Coturnix japonica: one gene and its partner. The protein of the gene in region 1 purifies or fractionates together with the protein of each later gene. This does not show direct contact. Links are inferred from orthologs where the notes say so. Each region holds a gene or a part of one and is shown in the gene's direction. Other genes may lie near its edges. The genes, in order: ERCC3 and CDK7.

The links.
Region 2: the proteins of ERCC3 (region 1) and CDK7 purify together in Homo sapiens (affinity purification with mass spectrometry; 15 studies listed by BioGRID and IntAct, counting the BioPlex papers as one, with this or other methods). This does not show direct contact. The link is inferred for Coturnix japonica from reciprocal best matches to the Homo sapiens genes ERCC3 and CDK7.

The regions. Positions count from the first base shown.
Region 1 is NC_029522.1:23,155,603-23,172,001, reverse strand, and holds the end of ERCC3 (general transcription and DNA repair factor IIH helicase subunit XPB), read left to right. Parts: intron 1-963; coding exon 964-1,168; intron 1,169-1,970; coding exon 1,971-2,285; intron 2,286-2,633; exon of another isoform or gene 2,634-3,090; coding exon 3,091-3,275; exon of another isoform or gene 3,276-3,409; coding exon 3,410-3,612; exon of another isoform or gene 3,613-4,691; intron 4,692-5,282; coding exon 5,283-5,379; intron 5,380-5,621; coding exon 5,622-5,739; intron 5,740-7,179; coding exon 7,180-7,298; intron 7,299-9,720; coding exon 9,721-9,873; intron 9,874-10,233; coding exon 10,234-10,368; 3' UTR 10,369-10,986; downstream 10,987-16,399. UniProt on the Homo sapiens protein: ATP-dependent 3'-5' DNA helicase/translocase. Binds dsDNA rather than ssDNA, unzipping it in a translocase rather than classical helicase activity. Component of the general transcription and DNA repair factor IIH (TFIIH) core complex.
Region 2 is NC_029547.1:13,166,840-13,183,238, reverse strand, and holds the start of CDK7 (cyclin-dependent kinase 7), read left to right. Parts: upstream 1-3,251; 5' UTR 3,252-3,348; coding exon 3,349-3,408; intron 3,409-3,588; coding exon 3,589-3,648; intron 3,649-4,460; coding exon 4,461-4,494; intron 4,495-5,183; coding exon 5,184-5,251; intron 5,252-6,000; coding exon 6,001-6,069; intron 6,070-6,830; coding exon 6,831-6,941; intron 6,942-8,226; coding exon 8,227-8,345; intron 8,346-8,984; coding exon 8,985-9,084; intron 9,085-10,885; coding exon 10,886-10,972; intron 10,973-14,247; coding exon 14,248-14,397; intron 14,398-14,923; coding exon 14,924-15,071; intron 15,072-15,880; coding exon of another isoform or gene 15,881-15,885; exon of another isoform or gene 15,886-16,399. Other genes in the region: MRPS36 (28S ribosomal protein S36, mitochondrial), read left to right, coding at 916-1,091, 2,309-2,326. UniProt on the Homo sapiens protein: Serine/threonine kinase involved in cell cycle control and in RNA polymerase II-mediated RNA transcription. Cyclin-dependent kinases (CDKs) are activated by the binding to a cyclin and mediate the progression through the cell cycle.

The DNA.
Region 1 (16,399 bases):
CCCTGGACTCTAATAGGTGTAAGAGATAATATCTAGTGGTTCCTTGTTTAACGTAAGAGGTCACTGGAAGCCAATAATGTTTCTTTCCTTTTGCCTTCCAAAGTCTTGGGATATTCCTTCCCGGTACAGAGTGAGCAGATTGCAGAACGTTCTTTTCTCTGCCCACAGAGTGCAGTCATTCACAAGTTAGAGAGGTTCCAGAAGCTCAGGGAGGTTCTGTTTGTGCTCGGCTTGATGCTGCTTTGTGCAGGGCTGATGAGGATTCAGTGGAGAGTAAATCTGCTGTTAGTTTCAGAGCTTTTCTTCCTCACAATTGATACTTACAGAGGAAGCTCTTGGTGGCTCTGTTTTCCCAGCTTGAGAAGCCGGAGGTCAGAGCACAGTCCTGACTTGGCCCTCAGAGGAATTTTGTAAGGCCTGTCTTGTTGCTGCATGGTGATTCTAATGATGCTTTTCTGGGGAAGACAGAAGTAATGAAAGGAGAACTTTTATCATAACCAAAGAAGTACTTGAGAACTGGAAACAACTTCTGGTGACTGAATCAACCTGTCATTGTGGAGTAACTGCACTGTCAGGGTATGAAGTTCTTCCCTATTACAGGTGTGCTGCTTTGGCAGGGCTTTCCATGCAGCACACGGGACTTATTGTGTTTGTTATTGAGCTTTTTTTTGTTGCAGGGCTTCAGAGTGTAGTTCAGTCACTGCCAGATGAGAAACACATTTCAGATGAATGTGTCTCACACTTCCATCTGTCAAAATAGCTCTCTGTAGTACGGGCTGTTGTTTCAAATGTTGGAGCAGGTGGGTCGTCACAAAGTTATTGAAACCAACTTCAACTCATGCAGACTTAATGAGCGTGAAATTAAACGTGACTTCATGTAGCACTGCGTAATCAGTAATTGTTAAATGATGTAATAATTCAGATGTGGAGAATTTAGCAGCTGAAGCTTTGTCTCCTCCTCAGGAGATGATTGAAGAACTTCAGAAGCGTTGTATCCATTTGGAGTACCCCTTGCTGGCAGAATATGATTTCAGAAATGATTCTGTGAATCCTGATATTAATATAGATCTGAAACCTACAGCTGTCCTCAGACCCTATCAAGAGAAAAGCCTGAGGAAGATGTTTGGAAATGGACGAGCCAGATCTGGTGTTATTGTCTTGCCATGTGGTAAATTACTGCATTGATTATTTTTTTTAAGGGTTTTCTTCCTTAGAGATTTTGTTCTTTACTTGCCTGCAATAATGTAACTTTTAAATCTGACAGCTGCTTGGGCTTCGAACTGTAATAGGGACTGATCTGGGTACAAGTATGCCAAATCCTGATGGCTTTTAGCAAGTGGGTGATGAGAGCGGTGAGGGTGTTTTGTTTCTCTAGTGGCTGAAGAGTTCCTTAATAGCTGTGATAGATCACCATTAACGTTTTTCTTTGTGCCCTCCTAGTCAGCTCTGCTGATCTTCCAGTGAGATGTAGAACTGCTGGCGCTGGAATCATTTCATCCTTGGGTGAAAACGGGGAGGTGGAGGAACTGGGGGTGCAAGCAAGAAGGTTGAGACAACCCATGGGAAGCATTTAAGGAGGGAGAGAATGGGAGACTGCTTGTGGCAGTGCAGGAGATACGAGGAAGGCCTCAAAGAGTGTGTAAGGGATGATGGAGGAAATTTGAAGCAGGAATGGGAAGACATAAGGACTTGCTACGTGGTATAACGTACACTGCTTGCAGGGGCTGTATGGGGGATGGCCTCTAGTAGAAGCGTTCTGTAGCCACCTGGAATTTATCCCATATTTGAAATGAAGAAAACAGTCTGATTGCTTCAAACTGGCAAAAGCAGCGTTTGTGATGATTTTCTTAAGACAACAGCACGTGGTGGGCAATCCAGTGTGATTTCATATTCCCTCACACAACTGTTGTCCTTCACTCTTTTTCTTTCTATTCCAATGATACCCATAATGAATATTGCTCCTTCCACAGGTGCTGGCAAGTCTCTAGTTGGAGTGACAGCAGCGTGCACTGTCCGCAAGAGGTGTCTGGTCCTTGGTAACTCTGCAGTGTCTGTAGAGCAGTGGAAAGCACAGTTCAAGATGTGGTCCACCATTGATGACAGTCAGATCTGTCGGTTCACCTCTGATGCCAAAGATAAGCCCATTGACTGCTCTATTGCTATCAGCACGTATTCCATGTTGGGACACACGACTAAAAGATCCTGGGAAGCAGAGAGAGTAATGGAGTGGCTTAAAAGTCGAGAGTGGGGCCTTATGATACTCGATGAAGTGCACACTATTCCTGGTAAGTAAATGGTGTGCAGACCCTCATGCTGTATGTACTGTATGTACGTACAGGAGTTAATATGCCATCTTTGGTTTTGAGATGCAATTGCACTGTAGGCTTAGGTGTTACTGTCTATTTCTATTCCATTAAATTTGAATAACAGTAGTAGTAACTGTCCAGAAATAGCTGTTGTAGTTGCAGACTATTGGAAGCAGTGATGTGCTATTAGAGTGTCTGTGCAGTTATCCTGGCAGTGTGTACCACCCAGCTCTTCTTTGCTGCTGTCATGTTTTAACTTGAATATAATTTGGTCTCTACTGGAAATGATGGATTTCTGGGGTAGACTTTGATGAACCAAGCAGCACGTTGCTGGTGCAGCTCTTTCACTTTTATTCATTTCATAAAAATTAAGGTAACAGGATTTGAAACAATACAAAAGATAAATGTTAGAAATTAATATTAGTCCTGAATGTGGCAAAGTCAGCCAAGAGTTCTTGTGTTAGCATCTTTTGATGAAATACAACATGGCTAAGATAAGTCTCTCTCTATTACTTTTCTTCTTGGGAAGCAGGAAGTAATACAAATGCAAAAGGGTTTTTTAGAGTACATTAAAGGTGCAAACTAAAGCTGACATCAATGTGAAGTTTTGCCGTGACACAGAATACTGTTAGAAGTGTATGTAAAATGGGGTGATAATTCCTAAGACCATTCTTGCTTTGTGTTTAGGAGTTAATGATTGATTTTTTTAACTTGTAAGATTGCAGTGCTTGTATTCTAAACCCGTTCGGGAAAGTAAACAGAAAGTGTGTCTTGTGTTTCTCAGCAAAAATGTTCAGACGTGTGCTCACTATTGTACAAGCTCATTGTAAGCTGGGACTGACTGCCACCCTGGTCAGAGAAGATGATAAAATTGTTGATCTGAACTTCCTGATTGGACCAAAGCTCTATGAGGCCAACTGGATGGAGCTGCAGAACAGTGGCTACATTGCTAAAGTCCAATGTGCTGAGGTGATGTTCTGCTTTTCAGTACTACTGGTGTATATTTAACATGCTTATAGCTTTAATTTTTTAATATAGATTTAATTTCCAGTGGAATTAAGTGGATAACTGGGATTTACTCTGTGTAAATTGTCTAATTCTAGGTTTGGTGCCCAATGTCACCTGAATTTTACAGAGAATACGTAGCCATCAAAACAAAGAAGCGGATACTGCTGTACACCATGAACCCAAATAAGTTTCGAGCTTGCCAGTTCCTGATTAAGTTTCACGAGAGACGGAATGATAAAATCATTGTTTTTGCTGACAATGTGTTTGCACTGAAGGAGTACGCCATCAGACTTGGGAAGTAAGTGTTCAGTGCTAACGATGATGCTGTTGCTTTCCTCCTTCCTGGAAAATCAACTTGTGATCTTACAGATCTTAGTAACCTCTAGACATTAGTTGTAATACTTCAACTACAATTCTCACATGAGAGGAGCTCAGGAAACTACTCTTTGAATGGATTTTATAGGCACTGGAACATTAATTCCACTGTAGAACTGTTTGAAAAGAATCTCTGTTTAGCACTTGGCTCAGAGGGGTTTTCATCTGACTTTCTCCATTTATTGATTTATTACTGAAAGCCACTTGGCAAAACTAGGGAGCCTTTAGAAATCTTTTCAGAGCTATTTCTATAATGGACTGTAGCTTCTCCTGTCTCTCTGTCAGGAATCTTTTCAGATGTGCACTGGGGATCTTTCAGGATCGTCTGCCCTAAATGTCTATACAATTATTGTGACTAGAGTTGACTGAGGGGTTAAACCTCAATGTGTTTGAGTGGCTTGGGAAGGGATGACCAGGGAGAATGTTTGTGAGGATCAAGTCATACAGCAGCTCCTTGGGGAAAATAAGCATAGGAGCTGGCCTTGTGCTTTCTGCGACAAGCTCAAATGATGTGTTGATTACTGGAAGCTGCGGGGCATTTTGACTGTATGATTTCACATCTATTGAATTTTGACAGTACTCAGCACAACTGCTAACAAATCTTTCTGCGCTTTCCGAAATTAGTGATTGCTTTTCACTCTAGTTTAATGGCCACGTTGTTGTGGCTTAGTGTGCATCTCACAGCAGAGCTGGTAGTTCTGGATGAATTCCAACACCCGTGGTCTCTTTCATCATGTTTTAAATCTGTCTGGACAGAGATTAGCTGTAATGATGCCTCTGGAATGTTGCTCGCAGTGTGCAGTGCTCCGCAGAGCAAGAGCCTTTAATAAAGGCACACGCCTGAAAGGGTGCTCGCAAAGTAACCTAACGGTTTGTAAGTATGGGAAATGCTGCAGAAGTACAGCAGGAGAACTGTCTAAAGAAATATTAGGTGCTTGCCTTTCACATTCTTGACTCGGTTCTCCTTCCCACGTGATTTGTATGGATCTCCAGTTTATACAGCTGTAAGAGATAGAAAGAGGAGTTGCAGTGCTAGATGAAAGAGAACATCATAACAGAAAAGCTCTCTAACCGTAGTTTGCCATGGACATGCTCAAAGTTGGCTTTGGGCATAAAAAGGGAACTGCTAGTTTGGGTGTGGCAGGAATTATTGGTTGTTGGATGCTGCAGTAGTAGCCCAGGTTGTGTCTGCCTGGCTGTGCTGGTCGTTGGTTCCACTGCCTGGTTCAAACATGTGGGGCTGGTGGGCTCACCAGTGCAGGGAAACTGGCATTGCCTGGTGACTGCTGCTGCACCAGCTCCTACTCTACCCCATCCCGTTCCCTTGGTACTAGCAGGGAACGGAACATGCACGTGACAGGAATTATTTTGACTTTAACTTTTGAGGCCTCAGAACTCAAATTTATTAAGCCAGTTTTTACTCTGTCCTGAGTCTGCCATCCAGAGTCACGTAGCTCATGCTGTTTTTTCCATTCGAGCTATTAATATGTTTAAATCACCACGTAATGAGCTCCCTGCCATGATATCTTAGTACCTGTTAATAAATGAGACACTGTAAATAGGTTTAATTTGCATGTGTTCTGTTTTTTCCAGACCATACATATATGGTCCTACCGCACAAGGAGAAAGAATGCAAATTCTACAAAACTTCAAGCACAATCCAAAAATCAACACCATTTTCATTTCAAAGGTGAGGATGCGGTGTGTTATTGTACTCATCTTCAGAGTGAACCTTATCTAAGAACATGCTATACACACACATTGGGCATTTGACGTTTTATTTATTTGGACTAGATGATCTTCTAGGTCTTTTCCAACCTTGATAATACTGTGATTCTATTATTGCAACTAATAAAGGTGTCCTTTGTACAAAGCTGTTGTTGGTGATGCATGGAAATAAGATGCTGCTCAGACACCGCTTCTGTTTTGCAGGTGGGTGACACATCCTTTGATCTACCTGAAGCCAATGTTCTGATCCAGATTTCATCCCACGGCGGATCTCGAAGACAGGAGGCTCAAAGACTGGGGCGAGTACTGAGAGCCAAAAAAGGTGAGGTAGTTGTTGGGCTCTGCTCTTTGGAATACAGTACGGCATTCAGATAATTACTCAACTGTTTAGGATACTGAAACATAGACTGAATAAACTTCAGTATCATGAGTAAGAAGGTAGTTGTTGGGTTTCCTTTTCTGTTGTAATATGGATGCCATTTTATCTTTCACTTGCAGCATCTCTTATTTCCTTTCTCCACTTTTTTTTAACCAGAACTGAATTCTTTCTTAAATACTTCCTTGCATTTTATTTCCCCTCCTGTTACAGTGGTTTACTATGCCAAAGTAGCATTTTTCGCCCCTTTCTATTTTAAGAACTTACGATCAGCTTGTATCAAATCAGCATAGCATTAGTAGAAGCATTTGCTGTTCCTTTTATTTTTTTCCTCTAAACTTGTGAATTTGTATAAACCATGTTAGAATAAAGCATATAAATCGGTTTATGTTGCAGCCTGTTGGCACTTAGTTTAGATAGAACGAGTATTCCCTAGGAAGTGGTCATATTTCAGAGGAAATTATTGATAACTGTCAGGTGGAGAATAAATTTACAGTGCTTCAGTTCTGCATTTGGCTGTTGGGAAAATGACTGATGAAAGCAGAATTTGGGGTTCCCTTTCTCCCACCTGTTTTCATGTGATGGAAAGTCTCTCTCTATTGTGCTCATACAGAGGAGAATTGCTGCTGTTATCTGTAATTTTCTTCCTACCAAAGCACACTCTATGGTTCTGTCTTGATGTAGTTCAGCAAAGGCCGTTTTAAACAGCAAAGCTTATTTTCTGTGCAGTTTATACTTCTTGTGGCTGAAGTTTTGTTTGAAAATGCCTACAAAGCCTGTGTTAGTGAATGAACAGTTAGTGAGACCTTGGGTTTTGCAAGAGAACACAGTGCTATTCGAGAGTAGATCAAATAACTATAAGGTTGGTGGGCCTATTTGTTTGATTGGTTTATTTCCTTGTTGTTTTTTGTTGTTAAAGAAAATTAAATGCACAGGCTGGTTTATCCTTTTATCCTCGTTTTAATGCAGAAAGATTACTAACTTTGGGTTATTTCTGTTTGATTTTTTTGACATCTATTACCATCTTTGTCCTTGACTTCTTACCATTTGTGTGCAAACTGTTACGTACATGATTTTTTCTTGTAATTTGTTTTGCCTGGTTAAGTAGCAGGTTCTTCTCAGGGTGCCAGATGACTGGGTTAGTCTCAATTTCCTTTTCCATCTCCTATGCTCAAGTTATTATGAACAAGAGTAGGAATTTCAATGTGCTGTGCTTTGTCACTGTGTTTACGTAAGGTTTGGATGCAGATTGTATTTAAGATACACTTTACAGATTGACTTTGTGGAGATAATTCTTATTTGAACACCTATTTTTACAACTTAGTCCTCTTTTCTTTGTTGTGGTGATGTAAATGGAACTAACTGTGTGGTGGCTTTGTCTCCTAGGCATGGTTGCAGAGGAATACAATGCCTTTTTTTATTCTCTCGTATCCCAAGACACGCAGGAAATGGCATATTCAACAAAGCGACAACGGTTTCTCGTGGATCAAGGCTATAGCTTCAAGGTAATTTGTCCCTTCTCATGATGAAACTGTGGCCCATGGATATAACTTTAATTCTTTCATTTTATGGCTATGTGAGATACTTAAGAATTACAGTTGTGAAATGTATCGATGAAGGTTTTGCTTGGAGGCAAAAATTTTTCCAGCATTATTCTGTTAACTGTATTACTGTGAGGGTAGATACAAGTAGTTTAATGCAACTTTTAGGAAAGTGAGTATTCTATGAGTGCAGATCCAAAAGTAATGCCTCCTATTTTATCATGTTGGCCCACAACATCAGAGGTGGGTGTTGGTGGTGTGGCAGTAAAGGCTGAATCTTCCCACCAGTATTGTTTAACAACATTGCATGTTGTTGCTGTGCGACAGATGGCAGCAGAGGGGCAGTCTGACAAAATGGTATTTGACATGGAAGTGCATACAAAGCAAAGGTGTGGAATTGAATTCCTCCATGCAGAAAAAATGGCACCCACTGACGTTCACTGAAGCTTGCTGAGCACTTATGGAGACCAAACAGTGGATGTGAGCACAGTGAGGTGGTGGGTGGTGTGTTTCAGCAGTGGTGACAGTGACGTGAAAGACAAACGATGATCCAGATGGCCATGCGTCACACCACAAATTGCACAAGGGGAAAGAGCAAGCAGCCTGTACTAGACTGCACTTGAACGTAGATGTTGAAGATCATTAGAGGCATACGTACATTTTGAGGCATCTCTGAGATAAAACCTGTATGAACTGCAGGTACTCTGAACTAAACTGCTCTGTTATCAGTGGCCCAGTTGAAGAGGTCTTTGCATCAGAACAGACATGTCATTGGCTTTGCAAGTAAAAGCCTCATTTTGCTTTGTAGTGAATGTACCTTGACAAAACTGTAGATCAGTCAGCTGCAGGTGATTACAACAGATGAGTCTATGTGGCTATAGCCATGAAAGAGAAATCCTTATGCTTTTGTTTGAGTGTAAGTCTCGGATTGTAGAACTAAGTAAGAGGTTAAAATAGAAGAGTTTTATTTTGCAAGGAAGACTTAGTCCTAGGAGTTTGGACTTCAAGGGAATAAAAGTAGTGCAAATGGCAGCTGAGTGTCTGGGGCAGAATTTTTAGCTGCCCAGTACTGGAACGTTCTTTGTTTGAAGATTAGTAACAAAATGTTAGATTGTCTGTTTTCTTCTGTTTGCTGAACTTTAAGCTTTAGTCATAGCTGGCATTGAACAATAATAGGGTTGGAAGAAACTTGAAGAAACCATCTAATGTTTCTTCATTACAAGCCAGAATCAACTGTGTATGTCATTCCCGGCAGATGTTTGCCTTTGTGACTCTACTTCATCTCTAGGCAATTATTTCAGTGCTGTTATCTTTTCCTTTAGAATTTTTATTCCTGATGCCTAATACTACTAAAAAATTGGTACTCTCTTAAAAAGGTAAAAGTTTGCATTTTTCTTCTAGGACTTCCTTCTTTTCATCTATCAGTCGCTCATTTCTCTGCCTTTCAGCAAAAGGGAATTAGGATAATTGGTTGCTACATCACATGTTTTGTCTTTGTTTCTTTTATACAGCCTTGTCGGTACTACTTGCTGCTTGGAGCCTCAGTTATTTAGGCATTGTTTGGTTTGCTAACCAAAGTTTAGTTACTGCACTGTATTGGTTTTTTGAGATTGAATGCAGGATATATTGAATTTTAAACCAACTGGAGAAGAACTTATTGTGTCAAAGAATCTGATGACTTTAAACTTGGCATCTGTTCAACAGCTTAAAAAAATTGCGATGCAGTGGAAATTCTTTCTGTTTTATGAAATACACTGGCACTGTTTTGCAACAACTGCGAACAACTACATGCTAATGCAGTTCTTCCTGGGTTCCATTTCGTTTTTGAGGTGATCATAGCACATGTACTTCATAAGCAACAAGAGGAATCATAGAATTCATTTGTTCATGTAATAGGACAAGTTGCTTCTCTGAATAGATTCTTGAAACTGCATATTTCTTAGAGAAATACATTTTTTTCAATTTAGAAATTGCCACTGACAACAGTGATGCTGCTGACCATTTGTTGCAGGTTGTTGTGCAGTCTCTTAACAATTAATTGTGAATATTCCTAAATGTGTATGTTAAAATTCTTGGTGTCTGCAAAGCTAATTGATTATTTTTATGAAATACAAAGTACTTTTGCATGATTATACTTTATACTATATAAAGGACTAGTTCTTACACTGAACAAAACCTGAAGTTAAAGCGTAAAGTCAGCCTTCCAGTAAGGTTCCTGGTCAAGCTGGTATGGAATGACAGTGTTTGGCGTGCGTTCTTTGTCTAGAGATACTGCATTTCCAGACAGAATGTAACAGCAGATTGTGGGGTGGAGGATACATTTGCACGTGCACCATAAGTAACAACAGCTCAAAAACCCTGCCTTTTACTGTGCTCTGTTTCTTAGGTAATAACAAAGCTTGCAGGCATGGAAGAAGAAGAACTTTCATTTTCAACCAAAGAAGAACAGCAGCAACTTCTTCAGAAAGTACTACAGGCATCTGACCTAGATGCTGAGGAGGAGGTTGTTGCTGGAGAATATGGTTCAAAGTCAGTTCAGGTAATGAAAAATACTTTGAAAAGAAAGACCGTAACTGCAGTAGAATAGAACCATTCCACTTGAATTCTGAATGTGAGGCCACCACTGATGCCGTAGTGTCTTTGTAAAATACTGGAAAACGTATCTTTTTTTAAGTTGTGTTAGCACTTGACTAATTAATTCACTGATTTCCACATACCCAAAGGGCAGAAACTAAAAGGCCACTTTACATTGATAGGCAGTTACTTTCTTAGTAGAAATTCTCCTTTAAGGAAAATAAATACCAGCTTTGAAGGCTTTTTGGTCTGAAGGTCTGTAGGTGAGAGCTGAGCTGTCTAATCATACACTGTAAGCATATGTTTTTTCTCTCCATATTTACAGATGTCACGTCGTACAGGCACAATGAGCTCGATGTCAGGAGCAGATGATGCAGTTTATATGGAATATCACTCATCTCGGAGTAAGGCGTCTTCAAATAAGCACATCCACCCGCTATTTAAGCGTTTCAGGAAGTGATGTCCTTCATGTGTGCGTTCTATAAGAACTGTCCATCTATGTACATCTTTCCACAACTAAAAATATGGCAGGTCCTCTAAAAGGCATCTTTGTGTGCATCCGTATAGCCACGTTTTTGTTTAGCAACATTTATGTTCTTGTGATTGAATGTGAAAGAAGAACTAAATCTCATCATGGAGATATATATTATCCAGTGACTGGATCCTGGCTGTACCTGTCTGGTTTTCAGCGTGAACAGATCTTATTTTTATTGGCTGAAGACACTTTTTCAGGTGAATTCTGGAAAGGTTTTGTATATGAGCTTTGTACTGATGTTAGAAATATTTATCTGATTACTGTCTACTTAGCAAAACACTGATGTTTAAATTGCTTAAACAAAAGTTATTGAGTCTTGTTAGGAGCACTTTACATAATGTTTTTCAACTGGGGCTAGTTGATAACCATGACTTAACTTGTTTTAAAATCCTACCAAATTGGCTGAAATATTTCAAAGTTTCAGGATGAAGAGAAAGTAAACTAGAGGAAAGCGTTCGTAAGTACAAATAAACTGTGCTCCATTTCCCTTATTTTTGTTGCTACTGTTGAGATGTTTCTGAAATAAAAGCTGTTTCCCTTGTTCTTTATGTTCTGTTTATTAGTTACATAATAAAACCATAACTGCTAAACAGTGCAGTGTCACTGTAGAAGTTACTGTTGGATCAAAGAGTGTTTTGACTTGCCAGTGACTAGGAGGCAGATGCATGAAGGAAGTAAATACAGTAACGTTCTAGAAAATGTGTGGAGAGGTAGGAGAAACTTCTGGTAAAGAGCACTCATGAAAAACAAACAAAACCCTTCAATTTAATATTGTAGCAGTTAATGGTTAGAACAGTGATGCGGTATTCTGCAAATCTTGGCTGTGATGTCTAGTGATCTTACTCTAAATAATGGTCTATGTGGGATGCAGTACTTCCAACATTATGCAAAGAAAAATAATTGTAAGAGGTAAGAATCCATGTTCCAGTAATGGCGTGTTGGTGTTCAGTTTAGATCAGTAATTTGATAGAATTACTGCAGTAGTTATTCCATACAGATGATTGTGGCTGCAGGTGGCAAACAGATGTGCTGTTAGTATAGAACAGTTGCTGTCTTGTATCTACGCTGTAATATACTCACTCAATTCTGCCTTCCAGACAGGAATCTGTTGCTAAGAAAAACTACTTGTTCCTCACCAACGGCATGCATTAACAATTCTCTAAAGCATGACTCCAAATGCAACGGGCACAACATGCTGATCCAGAATTAGTCTGCAGTGCCATTTTGTAGGAAATGAAGCTATCTTGTTCAGCTACGGAACTCAGCACTGAGTTTTGTCGCACAGGTATCTATTTGAAGCAGTATGGGAGGCTGCAAGCACGATGTGTCACAGTAACTGCACAGTGTGTGGTGGGCTCTCACTGCCTTGTGGCCTGAATCCCAAGAATCTGGGCCCTAGCTCTCTAAAGTTGCAGTCAGGCGCTCACGTTCTTTATCAGATGCTTGCTGGCCAGTGCTTTTATTGTGCAGATGGATTGTGAGATTGCTTGTTACACAAACTGCAGAAACAAAATGTCTGAGATCTCTGAGCTTGTCCTGAGGAAGTATGTGAAGGAAACCCTTTTTTTCTGCCATTACACTTCTGAGTACGTACCTTTCCGAGATGCTGCCTGTATCCCTGTAGGAGTATTCTGGTGTAACACTGCATTGTTTAGCAGCAGCCAACAAAGTGCAATGCAGTTCTGGATCCTGATAAACCGTTGACACCTGCAAATGATACAGCTTGATGATATCCTGAATTCTCGTTAAGTGAGAGGCAAAAATAACATGAATTTGTATAGCAAAAGTGTTTTCAGACTGAGCGGTGGCAGAAGCAGGTGAACTTTAGGGTAAGTGTGTTGCTTCTTGGAAGTCGTGAATAGAAGTGCAATTTCTTTGGACATAATTCAGGATACTCTATTCCTGGTCACCTCCTTAGCTCGGCTGAATTCCTTACTGAGAAAACTTGCACTTTCTAACTTCTTCATGGAATTGTTATTCTCTTTGTGGTTCTGGCAGTCTACAGTACTGAAATTCATGTTTGTGTTCATCCCCACAGCAAGTCAGCAAGTGTCTGTGAAAGGATTAATGCTTGAAGAGTACTGCTGTTCATTAGAATGACTTACAGGACTATAAGGACACAGTGACATTGGTGTTCTAGTTTCCAACAGCATTTCAGCTCTGCAAAGTACTGCAATAGATGCTGTTTCTATTCCTCTGTGGTTTCCTGTGCCCTCATGATGCTCACAGTTTCTAGTGGTACCTTTTTACAACCTGTTGAAGAACTTAAAAATGGGAATTGAAGGCAACTACTTCTCAGGTACACCGTTAGACAGGATAAGGATCTATACCTGCTACAAGAAATCTACATGTAGAGCTGAATCATTTATTTATTGCAGTCGATTTATGTTTTTTTTATTGAAGCGTTAAATAGTAAATAATACACAGCGCTGTCAGATGCTGGGACAGGTTTGATTGTTTGGATCTGTGTGTTCTTTTATCCAAATTTGATTAAGATTTTAAGTTACCGTATGGTAGATGAAACCAAAGACAGAGAAGTAGTTTACATTTGTCTCTTAAACTAAAGCTGCTTCATGAGTAAGTTACCTACAATACCTCCATTGTCATGCTTGTTAAGTTCAAATTTGTCCTTTTCTCAGGAAAAAATAATGGGGATTTGGAAAGCATATAGAATTCCAAATAAATGATTTCACAACTTGAAAAGGTCTTTCAAAATATGCATTTAAGAGCGGTCAGAAGAAGCACAAACCGTGACTAATGGCATGGCTTTGTCAGTGAAAAGACGCTTCAATTTGCACTGAAATTTTTTGCTGAAATTTCTGACATTTCGGTGCTTCAGCTATTCATCCTTTTGACATTTCTGACCTCTCTTTATCGTGTTACTTGAAGGTGTTACTTGGGCCAAGTTAAATGCCTCCCTTTTGCTTCCATAGATGCCTTTAGATGCATTAGCTATTTGAACACTGGAATGTTTTATATGTAGCACAACATTTATGATACTGTTCAAATAATTACAAGCCAGATATAGCCAAGGCTATTGAACAATGAAAATAATTCTGAGAAAACAGAATTCCTGCTAAGATGATAATGTAACCACTATCCGAATAGCAAAGCTATTATGACACAAAGAAAGCTTCAGATGAACTTTGTCGGAGTTCATGCAAAGAGGAGGGCAAGTTTAAATTGGATTTAGAAATAACTTAGTGAAGGTAACAAAGTACAGTTAAATATGACCCCACCAGGGGGTCTAGACTGAGAGAACAGTGTGAGTGGATTTCCAGGCAAGCTGTCCTCCAATAATAATACGCAATCTTAAATTGTCAATAGTCAGGTTTAGTTTAGTGATACCATTACATACCAGAAGTTAACTAAAATCAAAGCACTTTTACTGTGGAAGAGGCGTGTGCTCCAACTGGTTTGAAATAAAAGATGTCCAAACTGACTAGTTACATAAAACAACTTTTCAGAATCAGCAGACTGACAGACTAGCACAAAAGTCATGGCTTAAATCTGAAGAACTGTATGTTCATTCAGGTTTCTGTTGAGTCTGATGAATTCATGTGCTGGGAGGTTGTGGAAGTAGGAGAAAATGTTAATCTTCCAAGTCACATGAATGTGTTTTGGTTGGCTAGAGCTGACAGCATAACTTCTCCTTTACGGTTCAGTGGGCTTACGTGGATTGGAATGAACAAGTTTTATGTTACTGCAGCTACATTCACCATTTTTTTGTGGGAATTCCTTGTTTCTCTGACACCACTGGAAACATGTGACTGTATTTCTATGGAAAAGGGGACCAGACAATGCACATCCTTCCACAGGCCGAGCTTTTACCATAGAGCATGTGAAACGTGCTGCTGCTCTCTCAAATGTAGGTAAGTTTCATTCTTTATCTTTTTCTAGTCTGCTCTAGGAGACTTATGTCAGCTTTGTCTCTTGGAGCATAACTCTGGGTTTTACTGATGATGCTGATTATTGAACATGTAGTTGGTCATTCTGACCTCCAAATTGGATTCTGCTGTAGTAAGGATGCAAAGTGTGGTGGTAAAGCAGCAAACAATGATGAATGCATTAATAACTCTTATTGTGTGGTTCTGTTTGACTTTCAAATTATTATCTGGCACAGCAAAGAGAAGAAAATAGTGTAATTACATATTCAGTGCTGTGGTAGCCCACACAATCACTCACATTCTTAAGTATTCCATTCCTGGTTTTCACTGTTTAACCACAGAATAATTTGGCTTTTATAATTCCAAATATTATTTTTCAATAGTTTAGCTAGGAAAACTAGACTGTATCTGTATTGATAGATTACCATAGTAATTATGTACCATACACCATAGTATTATTGATAATTATTGATGACCAGGTTCAGGTCGGATATCAGGAAGAGGTTCTTCACTGACCACATGGTCAGACATGGAAGTGGTCACTGTGCTAAGCTTACTGGAGTTTAAGAAGCATCCCAACAATGCTGTCAGATGTGTGGTCTGATGTTTGGGTGGTCGTGTGGAGCCAGGAGTTGGACTCAGTGATCCTTATGGGACCCTCTGAACTCAGGTTATTCTGTGATTACTGTACAGTGTTATTGTATAACAGCATTATTGTGAAAGTCTATCTGAACTTGTATCTACTAGCAGATCTTCATTTCTATTCCATCTAACAAACCTCCTACAATTATCTATCATGTTCCAAACATATTTATAAGATGATGATATGACTGGGGTTTTTAGATAGCTTACTTTGTGACCCATCTGTTATTATTACAAGCTGCAGTGTACAGGCCTCTAAGCCTCTGAACATGATCTTTAAATAAATGATTAAGAAGTCTATCCACGTAGCAGAGAGAATATATATATAGGTGTTCGTTTTTTATTTCCTAAAACTAGGTTTATTGTGATTCCTGTGCTGGGACTATTGCCACCTCTAGAAGTTCCTCTGAGAAAAACTAGGTGCTGTTCTGATGAAGTGCTTAGAGGACAAAACTTCTGGAACTCTTTTTCAAGCAGGCTGGTTACAAAAAGTCTCTTACAATTAATTTTGTGGAGAAGAGGTAATTCATTGTGAAGTGAAGGGTAGGGGGGAGGGAACCAAATGCCCAAATATGGAATTAACTACAAAAATGTACAAGCAGAGAAAGCTAGTGCCAGCTGCAAGACTGAAGGCCTACAGTGTACAGTATATCTGAGTTTCTTACTAGTGTATGAATAGAAGCAGCTGCTTTACATGATGGTGTGAGACTGGTAGGAAATACTTACCATATTAATAGATGTGAGAAGCAGTTACAGGAGGAACATATATTATCTCCATCCATCTAGAGATTAGAACTTGAAAATCAGTTGTTAAAGCTGGAGAGCTACTGCATAAACTTAAAAACAAAATTGACTTTTAAGTTTCTGGTACTGATCCTAATTTATTTCTAAAGTTCTGATGTAACCTTTATTATGTATAGCTATGGGGTTATACCGGTGTTTCTGGTAAAGTGAATTCGTGCTGTTTTCATGTTATTTGTTGATTTACGATCTAGGGACATCACTGGTTATTCAGTAGCTTTAAATATCTCAGATATTGTTCTTAGAACATGGCAAATGTAATCTAGTTGATTTAGTTTAGGCTGTCCATCCTTTAGGACTACTGTCCATCTTCCTGTTCTTTTTAAATCCCCCTACAGGTATCTCTTAGTGCATCTACTATTTGCTTTAAGAGCTACTCCCTGTTCTGGTTTGTTTTTTTTCTCTCCTACGCTGTCTATAAGCAAGACATGGAATTAGCTTTCACTTATAAAAGTCAGAACAAGTTTATCATCACATCTACCTGATTTTTTTTAGTTATTATTATTATTTTTTCCCCCAGAACCACTTATTTCGTAAGTAACTGTGTCTCCCAAACCATCTTCAGACAAACATTAAAGAAATAACATATCTACACCAGGCATATACATAGACAGATGGGAAAGTCC
Region 2 (16,399 bases), on another chromosome or scaffold:
ATCTTGTTTAGCTCTGCATCTGAAGAATTTTGCCATTATACATTTTTTCTTGTATTTTTCTTGTATTTTTTTTTTCCATTTGCTGGAAGTCTATGGCAGTAACTGTGTTTCACCATACCAGACTGCTGCTTGGACATAGCCAAACAATGTTGCAGATCAAGGCTGTGCTGTTAGAAACTCTATGTTTCAAAGGCCAGCCAAGTTATTTTATGGTATTACTATTGGGTTATGCTGTCAAACAGGGGAGGAAAAAAAAACACCAAACAGACAGTATATGAGCTAAAGCAACTACAGTGCTAGGTCTGATACTTTTCAGTCCTGCTACTTGGTCACTACATCTCATTAACAGTTTGGTTGCTCATGCTCAATATGTGATCCTCATTTTGCACATTACTGACATAATTTGATACACTACACTGCCCTGCTGTATAATATTAGAAACAGGTACAGAGTTGCACGTGTATGTCATTGTTGTGATGTTCACCTTTCTGTAAGCCTCTGCCTCTTTTTCACCTTTACAATTGCAAGTAGACAAAAGCATCACCTCAGTGGACCTTGGTTATTCATCTGAACTGTCATTCTGCATTACCCTCTCCACAACACAATTATGATACCTCATACTTTCTCTGCAAGGAAAGCTTCCCACAGGAGAAAAAGCCTTTGTTAGGACATATACTGATTTCATTTTTCTTTCCGTGTTAATATTTCTTCCACTTGAATATACTATCTTTTAATTTCAGAATATTTTCATTGTGCTTTTGATGTATTTAGTAACAGTAAAAACAAGTTGAGTCAGTTGAGTATATTAATATATGTTAGGACACAACTAATTGTCAGTGGCTTATTTGCCACTCATCTAATTAACTGTACAATCTTGTTGTATTTCTTTACATTGTTTTTCAATCTGGGTTTCAGTACAGGAATCTCTACAAGCAAGTGTTCCGTCACCTCATGCTTCAAATGAAGCCTTTCAAAATATTTCACCTGCTAGTAGGGCACATGGTGCACCAGACACTTCTGAATTAGCAAGAATCTTACCTCAAAAATACAGAAGGAAACTTATGTCAGCTGAAGAGATTGAATATATTCAAGTAAGTCTCAGTAACTGTTGTGTGTTCTCTTATTTACCCAACCTTCTTTGTAGTTCTGCAGGTCCTTAAAAGTTGCACATGAGATAATAGATTGTAATTTTTGTTAAGAAGAGCTTTTGCAGTGTTGATACGCAGTACCAAAACAACAAATCCTTGATGAAGGAGGTTCACAGCTCTTACTAATTAGTAGCTTGTGTTGTCACTGTAGGATCCATATTTAAAGCAAAGGTAGAAAGGCAGTGATAGGTAGAGCCTACACTAAGCATATTCCCTTCTTGTTTTATAACCATTGTTTAGTGCATAATTTGAATATGGGAGCACAGAATGCTGTTCATGCTCTTGCCAGGTGACTGAAGTACAAAATTCATAAAAACTAGTTTGGAAACTGTTATGTAATAGGAAGTTAATTTTTGCACTTCTAACAGTTGGGAGCATTTTAGTTAAGCTTGATGCAAGTATTGCCTAAAATATTTGCAATTGCTGCATAACATGGGAAAGTCAAGGCAGAACTGCTTTTCTTCTGGAAGAGTTTTCAAATGAAAACATTTTTACTTAAAAAGGGAGAGTGCACAGAATTTGAAGAGCTAGACAGTAGCTTTCTTAAATGAGGACACTTAAAGGGTATAATGGTACTAGCGGAAATCTATATTTCAGCGTGCAAGTGGGTGACTATTTAAATTCAAAATAAAACAATCACTTTCCTGTAGTTACATACTTCTTTACCTCTGTTTTTGGTTTGTTGTTTGTTTGTTTTTAACCACAAGGCAAGTTGTTAAATAACTTTGTCAAAATAGTGAATTTCTGATTTCTCATAAAGATTATAGTGGGTTTCTTGGGCTTTGCTTTTACTTTGCCCCTTGGAATTTGGGCAGTAAAAAAAAAATCCAAAGCTACTACTACGGCTGTTTGTCTCATCTTTCCAGAGTCACTAAGTGTCATGTTTCTTCCAACTGAGAGGATAGGGAGCAGCTGCAAATATAGGTTGCAGAGGTTTTTATATTGTTTATATTATTCCATCAGGCACAATAAGCTATTAATGACAGGCAATGATTTTTCTGACATGTAGCATGTTCCATTACAGATTAAAAATCAAAGCGTAAAAATGAAGTTAAATCTAGGACTTGTTTATTAATCTATAACTGCAAAAGAAGACTGGATATCAATTTCCCTTTCTTTTAGAGGAAAATAGTTAACTCTGTCTATTTTTTGCTTTACAGCGTGGAGGTCCAGAATAAGTACGGAAGATATTTGCCACCAACAGATATCACCACTGTTGAAGAAAGAAGTATTGTGTTCATCATAAAAGCTTTTCCTTAATATTATAAATAATGGTATACTGATAGCTTTAATAAAAACCCTATGTGAAGGTGTAAAGGTTGACACAGCACTATTAATTGGTGATGAGAGATTTTCTGTTGATGACTAATAGCAAATGATGGCTACATCATTAGAGTATTTTTCTAACTAGCCATTCTATGAATTTGGCAGTAGAACAAATTGAGTTGCTTTATTTTCCTTGTTAACAGGTCTTTTCATGGCTGATTTCATGGGCAAGATAGACACACTCAGAGACTCCAGAATGGCTTGATTTGGATGGAACCTTAAAAACCATCTATTTCCAGCCCCATGCTGAGGGCAGGGCTGACACCCATTAGATTAGGCTGCCCATGGCTCCAGCTAGTCTGGCCTTGAATACATCCAGGGATGGGGGCATTTACACCTTCTTCAGACAAACTCTTCCAGTTCTTTGACTCCTTCCAACCCCCAACACGAGTTGATAGTTTTCCCCTACCATCTGATCTGAATATCGCCTCTTTTAGTTTAGAACCATTTCTCTGTGTCCTGTCATCATCAGACTATATAAAAAGTCCTACGATGTCCTGTTTATAATAAGCTGCTTTTAAATAAGTTAATTCTCCTGAAGTTCAGGATCCCCACTCTGCTTTTTGTCAGGCCCCCGTTCCTCATGATCACAGACTCAGCCAGGACATGGTTTAACCTCCTTAATGAGCTCTGTGGGGCAGCTGCCCGCTCCGGAGCTAATCACACACAGCCATCAGGGCACGAGCAGCATCGCACAGCGTGTGCCGGGCCGCAGCCCTCCTAGTACCCGCCTCCGAGCTGACGGCATCAGGCTGCGCGCTCATGGTGCAGGTAGGCGGGTCTGGAGGCGGGCGCCGATAAAGGGCCGTGCTGCTCTTCCGTTGTGCCTCGTTCTCCGGCCTTAGGGCTGTGCTGCTTTTCCCAGCTGGCAGCCATGGATGCGCGGGCTCGTGCTAAGCGCTATGAGAAACTAGACTTCTTAGGGGAGGGACAGGTGAGCGGCCGGTGGGTGCGGTGTGGCCGCCGGGGCCCTCTGAGGGGCGGCTGGGTGCGGGAGGGAGCGTGGCTGGCCGGGCCGATCGCCCTCCCGCTCACCCACCGTAGTGACTCTGGCTCTGGGCTGTGGGCTGCCCTGCCGCCGTGGTCACGCGTCTCTTTCTCTCTCTCCCTTTAGTTTGCTACTGTGTATAAGGCAAAGGACAAGAACACGGGTCAGATCGTTGCTATCAAAAAGGTGAGTGTTGGAACACCCCGCTGTGGTGTCACTGGGAGCCTTGTCCTGCACGGTGCTTCTGTTGAACTGCTGTCGTGTGTAGTGTGTGAGAATTCACAGGATTGGTACATTGGAAAAGAAGATCATGTAGTCCATGGGTATCCAGCCTTAATGTCCTGTGCTACGCTGGGAGAGGTGGAATTGTGCTGGACTGAAAACAGTGCCTCCATTTTACTTCTGTGGAAACTATAGCAGATAGAGCACACTCTAAGTTACCAAGAACTATTTTTCAGCATAGACACCACCGTTAATTAGACATTTTCACTAGCAATGAGCTAAAGCCTGCGTGCTGTGTTGCCATAAATCTGTATGAGTGGGGATGACTTGCTGTTGCTGTCACCTGAGCTGAAATTCATCACCTGCTCCCTCACTTTGCTCACACTTACTGTTTGATCTCCATAAATGTTCAGCAAGCTTCTATGAATGTTATTAGGTGCCATTTTTCTGCATGGAGAAATTCAGCAACACACTTTTGCTTCCTCTGTGCATCCATGTCAGATGTCGTTTTGTCAGAGTACCCCCCGCTGCCCTTTTGTCAGATAACAACACCATGTAATGGGAAGGTTCAGCCTCTTACTGCCATGCTAGCATCCGCCTCTGACATCATAGACCACTAACATAGGAGGCATTACTTGCAGAGCAGCCCTTGTAAGATATTCAGAATTGTTAATGTATTTTAATGAACTTATTTTAATCTTTTTTTTTTTAATTAAACAACTAAACTGTTGGGGATTGTGACTTGACCTTATATAATATGAGGCACTTATTTTCAGATTAAACTGGGACATCGATCAGAAGCTAAAGATGGTAAGTGTTAAAACAAGTTCATGCTGTATAAGCTGTCTTTGTTTGTTTTGCTTCTGCTGATTGGGTGATTGATTCCTTCCCAACCTAGAGGGACAGAAAAAATAACATCCGAAATACAGCATTCTCATACTGTATGTTTAACTGTGCGTATATGACTGTTTAGGTGGAACCCAATCACAAGTATAGCATGGAATAATGATATTGGCTTGCATACTTTTTTTTCTGAATATAAAAAATATGTCCACATGAAAGCGGACGTTGTCTCTTTTTTTTTTCTAAAGAAGGAATTAAAATAGGCAGAGTATCAACTAAGCCATCAAGATCTTTGCATCTAAATCTTCGCTGGAATCTTATATGTTGAATGAAACCACCATGGAAATAACACTGTTTTTCAGCTCATGCGTAGGCAAAACATCTTGCACAACATAATGCAGTAGTGTTTGCTTGCCAGTAAGCCAAAGGGATGTGTATTTTCCTTCATAATCTATATCTTCTAGTTGTTATTCATACCTTGCCTGCAGCAGTCTATGTATTTGTGACAGTCTGCTTGGCTTTAACAAATACATGAGTGCTGAGGAAAAGGACTGTAATATTAAGTAATCAATGAACAACAGAATAAGAGGTTTCTTTGCTGGAGTTTAACTTGAAATTATTAATTATATTCTGTTTAATTATTTTTTTCAATATAGGAATCAACAGAACAGCGCTGAGAGAAATAAAATTGTTACAGGAACTAAGCCACCCGAATGTTATTGGTGTAAGTACAGTGAATTTTTGCTGCAGAGACTGGCTTCAGAGAAGGTAAAACTGCACTGGGAAAGGGATCTGGAACAAGGGATCTGAAGTAAAAAAGGCTGCGCTTGTACTGGGGAGCTGCCAGCTTGTGGGTTGGCTCCTGAGTCAGCAAGGGTGGAGCTGGCACATTAGCGGCACAGTTTAAACTCTAGTCCTTATTGTTTGCACCTGATAACAAGCTTAAAGTATCCTAGGGTGAGCTACCAGGTGAGTAACCATTGTTGCTGCCCACTGAGAATGGGGAGGTTCAGTGAGTGAGCACAGCCCACACTGCCCATACAGTGCTGTGGATGTGGATCAAGTGGTGATGAATGTAAATGTTGTCAGTCTGTGCTCAGGAGACTAGCTTTCCTCTTGGAAAGTCTCTGGGACTGCAGGCCTAAACATGTTCTCTATCAGAAAGCAGGTTTATTCCAGAAAGATTTTGGCAACCCAGACAGAGGGCCTGCCCAGAAATGTAGCTGTTCTCTGGCTGCAGGGAGTGCCTGAGCCTGCTGCTGCCTGGGGAGGGTGGCAGGGATTCCACCTGTGTGAGGTGTGAGCAGGTGGATTAGGGTTCCTCTTGATGATGAGGTCTAGGCAGTGAGTAGCCCTGTGCCTGTTTGTCTCTGCCAGTAAATTGAAAATGCACATGCAAACTAAAGTAGAATGGAATTTTAGGAAACGGGAATTATGAGAGTGTCATTCATCATAGCACATTTTGTTTTACAGCTGTTAGATGCATTTGGACACAAATCTAATATTAGCTTAGTATTTGATTTTATGGAAACGGACCTTGAGGTAAGTCAAATTAAGATAATTTCAATAAATTTCAATATCTTCAAATACATTTTGAAAATGCATTTTGAAAAATATATTTTCATAGCCTTACTGTTACTGTGTGTTTTTTATTTCTTTTTTAGAAAGTTGTCTCATTCTTTCATTATGTAATTTAAGATCATACCTTTAAAAGAGTTGGAATAGTGAGACAGTATTTTCAATTGAAAATGCCTTTAAAGTACTTTCTGTCAGCACCTTTATCAAGAAACGGATTATGTTTACTATATTAGTTTTCTAGGGCTTCAGTCAGAGCATAGAACCACTGATCATAAGCCAGGATCTCAGAATGCAATTGCTAAGCACAGTAACGTAAAACATGCTCAAGTAAGTGTGATATTATTCAAGTATGCCGAGTAATTATCTGACTAGAAGTCACATACTCCTGAACCCTTCTTTTAAATTTGACAGTGGCGTGTGCTTGCAGGCCTGAATCTTAAGGATGTTTCATTAGCTTGTCTGTTGCCAGTACCTTTTTATTGAATACTTTAGTGCAGATTCTTCATTTTGGAGCACTGCTGAGAAGACGTTTTGGGTGACTGTCGTGTCAAATCTGTACATGCTCACATTATCTGTGCTCTGGAAGAAATTAACCCATTATACATGTATATGTAGCTACAAATTCCAGCTTTATCCTAAAGTATAAACTGACTTTTGAGTTGAATAATTTTGTGTTATAAGTTTTTGTGCTTACCAGTCTACCCATATCAATCTAACACTTGCAGGTTATTATCAAGGATACTAGTATTGTATTAACACAGTCTCACATCAAAGCGTATATGCTGATGACACTTCAAGGGTTAGAGTATTTACATCAACAGTGGATTCTGCACAGGGTAAGCATGCTCTAAATGCCCTTATTCCTATAACAAATATCACTTTTGATTGAATTAGTCTGAAAACTGGCTTTCATTGGTTTAGAATGCATAGGGTTGCTCTAGCAGTTGAGTAGTGGCAATTGCAACACTAGAAATGTTAAGAATTACTGACATCTATTGTGTAGATGCTTATAGGTGTAAATCATTCCATAAGTAGTGCTTTCTATTAATTGCCATGGAAACTACAATACAAAAAGCACAATAGCTCTATATGGCAGGACAAACTCTTAGCTACAAAACAGTGTCAGCACCGTTTTCATCAGCAATGAGCAAGAGCCTACATACCACATTCATAAAAACCTGCTCCAGCAGACATCACCCACTGTCTCTACTGGTGAAACACACCACCCTTCTCTTCACTGTGTTCACATCCAGTGTTTGGCCTCCATAAACATTCAGCAAGTATCAGTGAGAATATTCATTTTCTTTCCACACGGAAGGATTCAGTTCACAGTCTCAAGTGAGACTTTTGGTTAGAATTGTGATCTAGTCGGGCTTAGATGAAGTTAACTTTCTACACAGGAGTTTGCATGATGCTCTGTTTTGAATTTGTAGCTTAAAACAATGGCATTTTTCAATCTGTTGAACTCTGCTTGCGCATTGTCAAGCCTTTTTCCACTCTGCCTCTAACCCAACAAAATCTGCTTAGAGTGGGCCAGAAATTGGGAAGGGATGCAGCACGTGGGGCAGCTGACCCAGGTGGCCCCGAAAAATGCTGCCAGTGGTACAACAGTGTAAAATAATAATAATGATAATTAACAATGCTGGGATATAAGTAAATTTTGTCTTCCACCTGGGTGTGAGGAGTTGGCAGTGCAAGCAATGGTTACGTGCCTGCTGGCTGTGGCCAACCCACAACACTGTTGCTGTATTGAACTATACCAATCCCATGACATCTCCAGCTGTCATTAAAATTAGGGATTATATTATTCTTTTTTTTTAACAGTGCAGTAAGACAGAACTAATGTTCCTGCAGCAAAGCAAACACCTACCATAAATTTGTGTTTTTGAACTCTGGAAATTAAATAGCTTAATATTCAAATTGAGATGTATGATTAGTTTTTATTTTCGTTTATGTGGAAATGATGTCTTGTTTGTTTTCTTCATCACAGCATAAAAAATCAAAATATACTCAGAAGAGTAGGTTTTAGAATACTGTTACTGTACTCTTGCTGAAATGTTCGCTGTATGTCTGTTTTTATTAACAATGACAGGATTCCTTCTTTGCTTTCTGCCCTGACAGGATCTTAAACCAAATAATTTGTTGTTAGATGAAAATGGTGTTTTGAAATTAGCTGACTTTGGCTTGGCAAAGTCTTTTGGAAGCCCAAACAGAGTTTACACACACCAAGTAGTAACAAGGTAAGACATTTCTTAGATTGATGGTAACTATTACATGTTACCTTGTGGAATACGCCATGTTAAAACAACATGTTTAAAGTTTGATTTCTAGCTCAAGTGCTATGATTATAGTGGCAAAAAGTTTCATAACAGAAAGCATAATAAAGTGCTTTTTAATATAGTCTCTCTAAGAATGGTTGGAATTTATGTCCCTGATGGTTGTTCTGTGAAATGATATGGTTTTGAAGCACATGAAATTAACATGTATTTACCTATAAATCTAGCTTTCAGAGAGACAGAGTAGATAAGGTTTCCTTTGTCTACTGTAGTGCTGAAACTATACGGTGGAACTATTTAACATCTTCATTCAATTAAAAGGCATCAGTGAAACTGTTGTTTGAAATGCAGTGTATGTTTTGCCGACAGCTTCAAATAATTGCTGCCAGGATGTATTTTGCACAAAATTAATCTATAAGTCTGTTGCTAGTAATGTTTTTGAAAGCTGAAAGGAATTGTGTCTTAAAGTAACATTTATTAAAGATAAATAATAATAAAAATACACTTAATTTTTTTTTTTTGTAATTACTGCACTGCTGCAGCATGCAGCACTTGACATCAAGTGATACCAGGATGTTTTCCTAAAATATTTTTTCTGTTCAGGTGGTACCGATCTCCAGAACTGCTCTTTGGATCTAGAATGTATGGAGTTGGTGTCGATATGTGGGCTGTTGGTTGTATTCTAGCTGAGTTGCTTCTCAGGGTAAGTCTTCAAATGTAAGAATTTTTATTTTTTCTTCAGTGCGTCTTAGTTGTAGGTTTCTTCTGCCCTGCAGTACTGTCACCAATAAAAAGTTAAGCTACTTTCTTGGAGGTAATGAAAGGGAGCAGGGAGGGAACACCTCCCAGAAGTTTGCTACCTGTAAGGAAACAAAATTTTTCACATAAGCTGAGATTCCAAAATCATTACAATTAATGGAAACTTTAAAGAACAGGTAGGCGAAAAAGTACAACACAGTGTCACAGCTCTGCCTTGGGGAAGGTGATTAAAGAGTTACTCTTCCAGTCCTCTTGGTGTTTGCCTTTCACGCAGCCATTCATCAGTTTTCATTTATGATATTTCTAGAAAATCTGGCAGAGTAGGTGTGCATGTACATTCTTATTTTTCATAAATTGTTTCCCAATAATTGGGAATAATTACCACCAGTACATCAACTGTGGATTTATTTGTAATGAGCTGAAAATTTTCTGTTGTTGTTGTAAAATGTGTCTAGTTCACAGGCTGGAGTGAAGCTGAAGATGGTCAAGATTACATAATATCACTCCTACATAAGATACACAGATGTAATCATCCATAAATAGGCTTTATAGGAGTAAGCAGTCTGTTACGTAGCTCTTCTGAAAACATGAAAGTAGGAAATGAAGGTGGGGGGTGCACCAGTAGTGCATGCATAAACATAGATTAGACCACAGGTGTCCAACCTTTTGGCTTGCCTGGGCCATGTTGAGTGAACAGGGATAATCTTGGGCTGCATATGTGGAATGCTACAGAAGTGATGACTCCTGTTTATTTCCATGGAAACAACAACTAATACAAATAGCACAATAATTGTTTGGTAGAGCAAAATCTTAGCTATAAAACAGTGTTTTCCAGTGTAGTCACCGCTATTAGCTGTGCTTTTTTCCCAGTGTTGAACATGAGCCTGCATGCCATGCTTATAGAAATCTGTTCCTGTGGAGGTAATCACTGTTCCACAGCTGTTGTGATGGCATCATTGCTGAGATGCACCATCCACCCTCCTCACTGTGTTCGCATCTGCTGTTTGGTCTCCATAAATGTTTGGCAAGTGTTGATGGATGTCAGTGCATGCTGTTTTTTTTCCCATGTGGAGTGTGTTGCAGCTCTTGCTTCATCTGTGTTTGTGTCAGATGCCATTTTGTCATAGTACCCCTCTGCTGCTGTCTGTCACACAGCAACGTGTAATGAAATACTGGTGGGAAGGTTCAGCCTCTACTGTCATACCATCATCATCTGCCTCTGACTTTGTGGGCCAACATAACAAAATAAAAGGCATTACTTTTGGAGCAGCCCTCATGAAATATATAGTTAATGCATATGAGTAACAAAACTTATTTTATTATTTAATATTCCTTATTAAAACCTAAAAAGAGCAACAACAACATTGACCTAGTGAAACATTTGTCTTTGCCTTTGTGCATTAGCCTAGTCTGATAGCAGTGGTTGCAATTCTTAGTGAGTTGCCTTGGAGTTGATCAGAAATTGTTATGAAATGTTACTCCTTCTGTGCCTCATCCTTGAAAACAGTTGTTCACAAGTATATATGTACTGCCAAAAAGCAAGGGTGTGTTAATGAGGTGTGATTGTGAGGTGAGGAGATAATTCTCTCTGGTAAAATGGGGTTTATTGAGGTACGACAGAGATATAGTCACATTTTTCATTCAAGTTGAATACATAATGCAATTATGAGGAGCGACTCTTAAGTTACTTTCTAGAATTAAGTGTAGAATTTATTTAAATGAGTAATGCTGTTTCCTTCTTCCAGGTTCCTTTTTTGCCTGGAGACTCTGATCTTGACCAGCTGACAAGGATTTTTGAAACACTGGGCACTCCAACAGAAGAACAGTGGCCTGTGAGTCTTTCTGTTTAACACCCTGACTTCAATTTTACTTGATGCAATATTTATTTTTGCTTTTGAAATTAAATTAAAGAATACGTCAGAATATTTGAGTAAAATCTAAAATACAGCTGCCTCTCTCACAGTGGAAGAGGATAAGCAACTGAGATTTTTACCTCAGCAAATCTAATCATTACAACAGTACTGTTAGCATCAAGCAGCAGTTAAGAGACATCTTAATTTCCTTTCATGGTCCACAGTTTCGTATGACTATTGGTATGAAATTGATATTGATTGCTTAATGTTCTTGAGATGCTTGATATATTCATATTTTAACCTGGGAGGCTTTAATTGCTTTCAGAATTGGGAGCAATTTACTGGACCTTAAATTGGGCTGTCCTGGTTTTTGGTTTGGGATCCAGTAAAAGACAGAATAACAGTTCTGAGGGGAAATGTTTTCGCAGAGTAACTCTGTGGTAATACACAGCAATCAGTGTCTGTCCCCCACATGGACCCTTTTATTTATTTTTTTTGTTAATGATTGGCACTACTAGCTTTCAGTGGCACCAGAGTCACCAGATCAGGCTGTCAGAGCCACATCCAGCCTGGCCTTGAGTGCTTGCAGGCATGGGGCATCCACAACCTCCTTGGGTAACCTGTTCCAGTGTGTCACCACCCTCTGGGTTAAAAACTTCCTAATGCCTAACCTAAATCTCCCCTGTCTTAGTTTAAAACCGTTTCCCCTTGTTCTATCACTATCCGCCATTCCTGTTTATATGTACACTTCAACTACTGGAAGACCACAGTGAGATCTCCCCGGAGCCTTCTCTTCTCCAGGCTAAACAATCCCAGTTCCCTCAACCTTTCCTCATAGAAGACATGCCCCAGCTCTCTGATTATCTTAGTGTCCCTCCTCTGGACCCGCTCCATGAGCTCCACATCCTTCCTGTACTGTGGGCCTCAGGCCTGGACACAGAATTCTGGATGGGGCCTCACAAGAGCTGAGTAGAGGGGGACAATCACCTCCTTCTCCCTGCTGGTCACCCCAGAACACAGTTGGTCTTCTGGGCTGCAGGCTTACACTGCTGGCTAATGTCCAGCTTCTCATCCACCAGGGCCTCCAAGTCCTTCTTCATGGGGCAGCTCTAAAGGAGTTTTTTCAGGAGTCTGTATAAATACCTGGGATTGCCCCAACCCAAGTGCAGCACCCTGCACTTGGCCTTATTGAACCTCATTAGGTTTTCATGGGCCCACTTCTGCAGCCTTTCCAGGTCCCTCTGGATGGCTTCCCTTCTCTCCAGTGTATCAACTGCACCACTCAGCTTGGTGTTGTCTGCAGACTTGCTAGAGATTCCATCATCTGTGTCATTAATGAAAGTGTTGAAGAGCACCAGTCCCAAGACCGACCCCTGCGGGATCAGTGGTTATTATATTGTACAGCTGTTCCTCCTGTATGCCAGTTCTCCTTTGTATGAATGGTGTTCGGATGCTCTCTCAGCTCTGTGGTCACCAAATTGATCTATAGCCACATGAAAAAATTTGTGTAAAGCAATACTAGCCTAGCATTTCTGTTATGCTAAGATTCTAAAGGAAAGGTGCAAAGATTTTTGCAGTGATTTTTTCCTTGTTCTTGGGAGGTGAGAAAAGAAGACAGGCAATTCATTAGCACAACAGAGATAATGCATTCCCAAATTTGTTTCCAAACCTCTATTTTTCAAGTATTGAAATCCTTACTGTCAAAGTTGTAACTGATTGCACACATACAGCGTTAATGTTATGTTTAGCTTGAATAAATTTAATGAATGTATTTACTGAAATATGTTGATTTTAAAGTTTTAAAATACTGACATCTAGGTAATTGTCTGTAACTGGTTTGGTTTTATGATGAAATTTGAACACAAGGGGTTGGGTTTTTTGTACTTAAGGGAGGAAAAATGCCGTTCATCTTTTGTTCAACTGGTTTTACCTTCCTTCCCTGTAGTCCACAAACAGAACATGTGTCTCAAAAAGTAGCTCAAAATGCTAATGGTGGATGACAAACTCGGTAGAGGACAGTATCTTGCCAGGAGGAAATGCACACTTTGAATCTCCTCTCTTCTGCCAATTGCTAGTTTTACTTTGTCTGTGTTCACTGTAAAGTTCCTATATGCTTCCTTTGTTTCCTGTTGTACTACTCACTACTGAAGCAAGAGTATGAAAGATTACTTGGTAATGGATACTGTGTCAGTTCTTTTCTTAGAGTAATTTCTGTGACCTGTTATTCCTATGCTCTGTGACCAGATATTAACAGGGTGTCCTGAAGAATGGTTAGCTTCTGCTGTGGATACAGCTGAGGACACCAAGCTGAGTGGTGCAGTCGATACGGTGGAGGGAACAGATGCCATTCAGAGGGACCTTGACAGGCTGGAAAGCTGGGCTCAGGTGAACCTAATGAGGCAAAGTGTAAGGTTTTGCACTTGGGCCGGAAGAACCCCAGGCACCTGTACAGGCTGGGAGGAGTTGTCCTTGAGAGCAGCTCGGCTGAAAAAGACCTAGGGGTCCTGATAGATGAGAAACTTAACATGAGCCATCAGTGCGCTCTGGCAGCCCGGAAAGCAAATGGGATCCTGGGCTCCATCAGGAGAGGGGTGGTCAGCAGGGATAGGGAGGTGATCGTCCCTCTCTACTCTGCTCTTGTGAGGCCCCATCTGGAGTACTGTGTCCAGGTGTGGAGCCCTCAGTACAAAAAAGATAAGGAGATTTTGGAAAGGGTCCAGAGGAGGGACACGAAGATGATCAGGGGGCTGGAGCACCTCCCCTATGAGGACAGGCTGAGGGAGTTGGGTTTGTTCAGCCTGGAGAAGAGAAGGTTGCGGGGTGACCTCATTGCAGCCTTTCAATACCTGAAGGGAACTTACTCCCAGGAGGGGAGTAAACTCTTCGAAAGGGCTGATAATAGCAGGACTAGGGGAAATGGTTTTAAGTTGAAGGAGGGAAGATTTAGGTTGGATGTTAGGGGAAAGTTCTTTACTAGAAGGGTGGTTAGGTCCTGGAACAGGCTGCCCAGTGAGGTTGTGGATGCCCCGTCCTTGGAGGTGTTCAAGACCAGGTTGGATGGGGCCCTGGGCAACCTGATCTAGTAAATGTGTATGTTTGGTGGCCCTGCCAGGCAGGGGGGTTGGAACTACATGATCCTTGAGGTCCCTTCCAACCCGGGTAATTCTGTGATTCTGTGATATGAAGTTCTGTTTCTGTGAGATGCTAAGCTCTTTCAATCTTGAAAAATAGATATCCCTTTCTTATCTTTGTAGGGAATGGCAAATCTTCCAGATTACATCACTTTTAAGCCTTTCCCTGGAACGCCTCTTCAACATATCTTCAGTGCAGCTGGTGATGATTTACTTAGTCTTCTACAAGGGTTATTTACATTTAATCCTTGTTCTAGAATTACAGCCACTCAGGTATAGTACACTTGTTTGTGTCCTAGTGTTCATGAATGTACTCTAAATATCACATAAATGCGTTTTGAAGCTAAGAAGCCAGGTTTGAAATGAAATGTCATATAGTTCTGTCTGTTAACTGTATACAGTAAACATATCTCCCACGTTTTATACAGAGAACTTTGGAATAATGCTCTCTGATAATCCCCATTCCCAACTGTGTAGCCAAGGTAGACAACTAAAAAGCATATAAGCCAGACTATCATATTCAATATTCAAAATTCAGTTACAAAGCTTGCAACATAAATCATAACATAGAATGTTTTATTCCCTGCTTTTAAAATATTTTCATCCTTAATTCATTCAATCTCCATTTAATTTAAACTTTTCTGGTTCTCTTTTAAAATGTACATCTGGTGATTTTAGCCATCATCATGATCTGTACTTCATTTTCCATTTTACTTGAGTAAGATTGATCTCAGTTCTGATGCTTATACTAATCACTTTTTTTTTTCTTGTTTTTTTTTTGTTTTCTGTGATTATGAAGGCACTGAAACAGAAGTATTTCAGTAATCGCCCAGGACCCACTCCAGGAAATCTGCTACCCAGACCCAACTGTGCTGTGGAAGCTGTAAAGGAGCAGCAACATGCACTTTTGAATTTAAAAAGGAAACGAGGAGAGGGAATGGATCAAGGTAAATTATTAATGTTTCACCTGTTTTAAAATGGGAACTCAGAGGGAAAGCTGTACTTTCAGTATTTCAGAACGTAAAAACTCTTTGAATGGATAATATCCCTGGGCACTAGGACCATCTGGAGCCCTTTAGGATTTATGTTTTAGGATAAACACTTGAAGGTGAGGATGGTTTAATAGTGATCTAACAGAATTGGTACCAGAAAGGCTCTTTTACTATGTGTAGTGATCTGTTAATTAGAAGAAATCTCTTAATGCCATTAATTTAATGAGGTGTGGCATCATCTACTAAGTTAGAGGCTATCAGACTTCTTGTTTCTCAAGCAAACAAGAAAATTCTTAGTGAGTTAATCAACTTCATATAACTTTTTTTTTTTTTTAAAGGGAGAACTAAGAAAGAAATATGGTATTTCTTTTAGGTGATAGATTAGAGAATGTAAATCAGATTTAGAGAGATTGCTGCTATCTCCCTTGGACTAAGTAAGCTGTTATGACCACACTGGGCAAGGAAGATCTCCATACATTACAGTGATCCTTTTAAGAAGCAAGCCTATCCCCTAACGTGTATTTCCATATGGAACCTCCAGTTTTCCTCAAACAGTAGCATATACTTCATACCTTCATAGCCAGAAAAGCTGTGTGGACTTGACAGCTGTATCTGACACTAAACTAGTCAGCCCTTCTAGCAGAGAGGCAAACAGTTTTAAAGCTTGGAATTTGTCATCTTGGCAGCAGGAATTTGCTAGATAATAGCAATTAGGTTAGGTTAATGGTTAGACAGTAGGTTAATACCAGTTTTGTTTTTACCAGGATGAGGCTGTTTCAATACAAGAGTGTGGTATCTTGCTGGAACGGAGATGCTTCCATGAAAATGCATTTCCTCGTGAGCTCAGATGGACAACTAAATTTTTACAGTTCATCTTACTGTTTAAGCACTTAAACCCACTGTGTCTTAAACTCTGTCAAATTACAAGTAAAATGCATTAGTTTGTTGGCTTAATTTTTCTTTGAAATTAGAATCTTTAATCTGTTAACTATTTGCATGCTCTTTGCTGACCTCAGTACCATGGGTCAGCTGCCATGTGGGAACTTGTCAAGTACCATGGGTAATTAATTAAAGTCATTAGTTGAAGCTCTTTATCTCTTGCAACACCATGTGTCTGCAATTAGCATTTTGAGGTCCGTGTCCCTAGAATGTACCAATTAGCCAAAGAACAGAAAAGATGAAGAACTGTTCGAGTTTTGCTATTTAACTGTTTGAAATCTTGCATTTGTCAATAAGCAGAGTTTCCAGAGCCGTATCAGAACCACAACATTAATTGCTGTAAT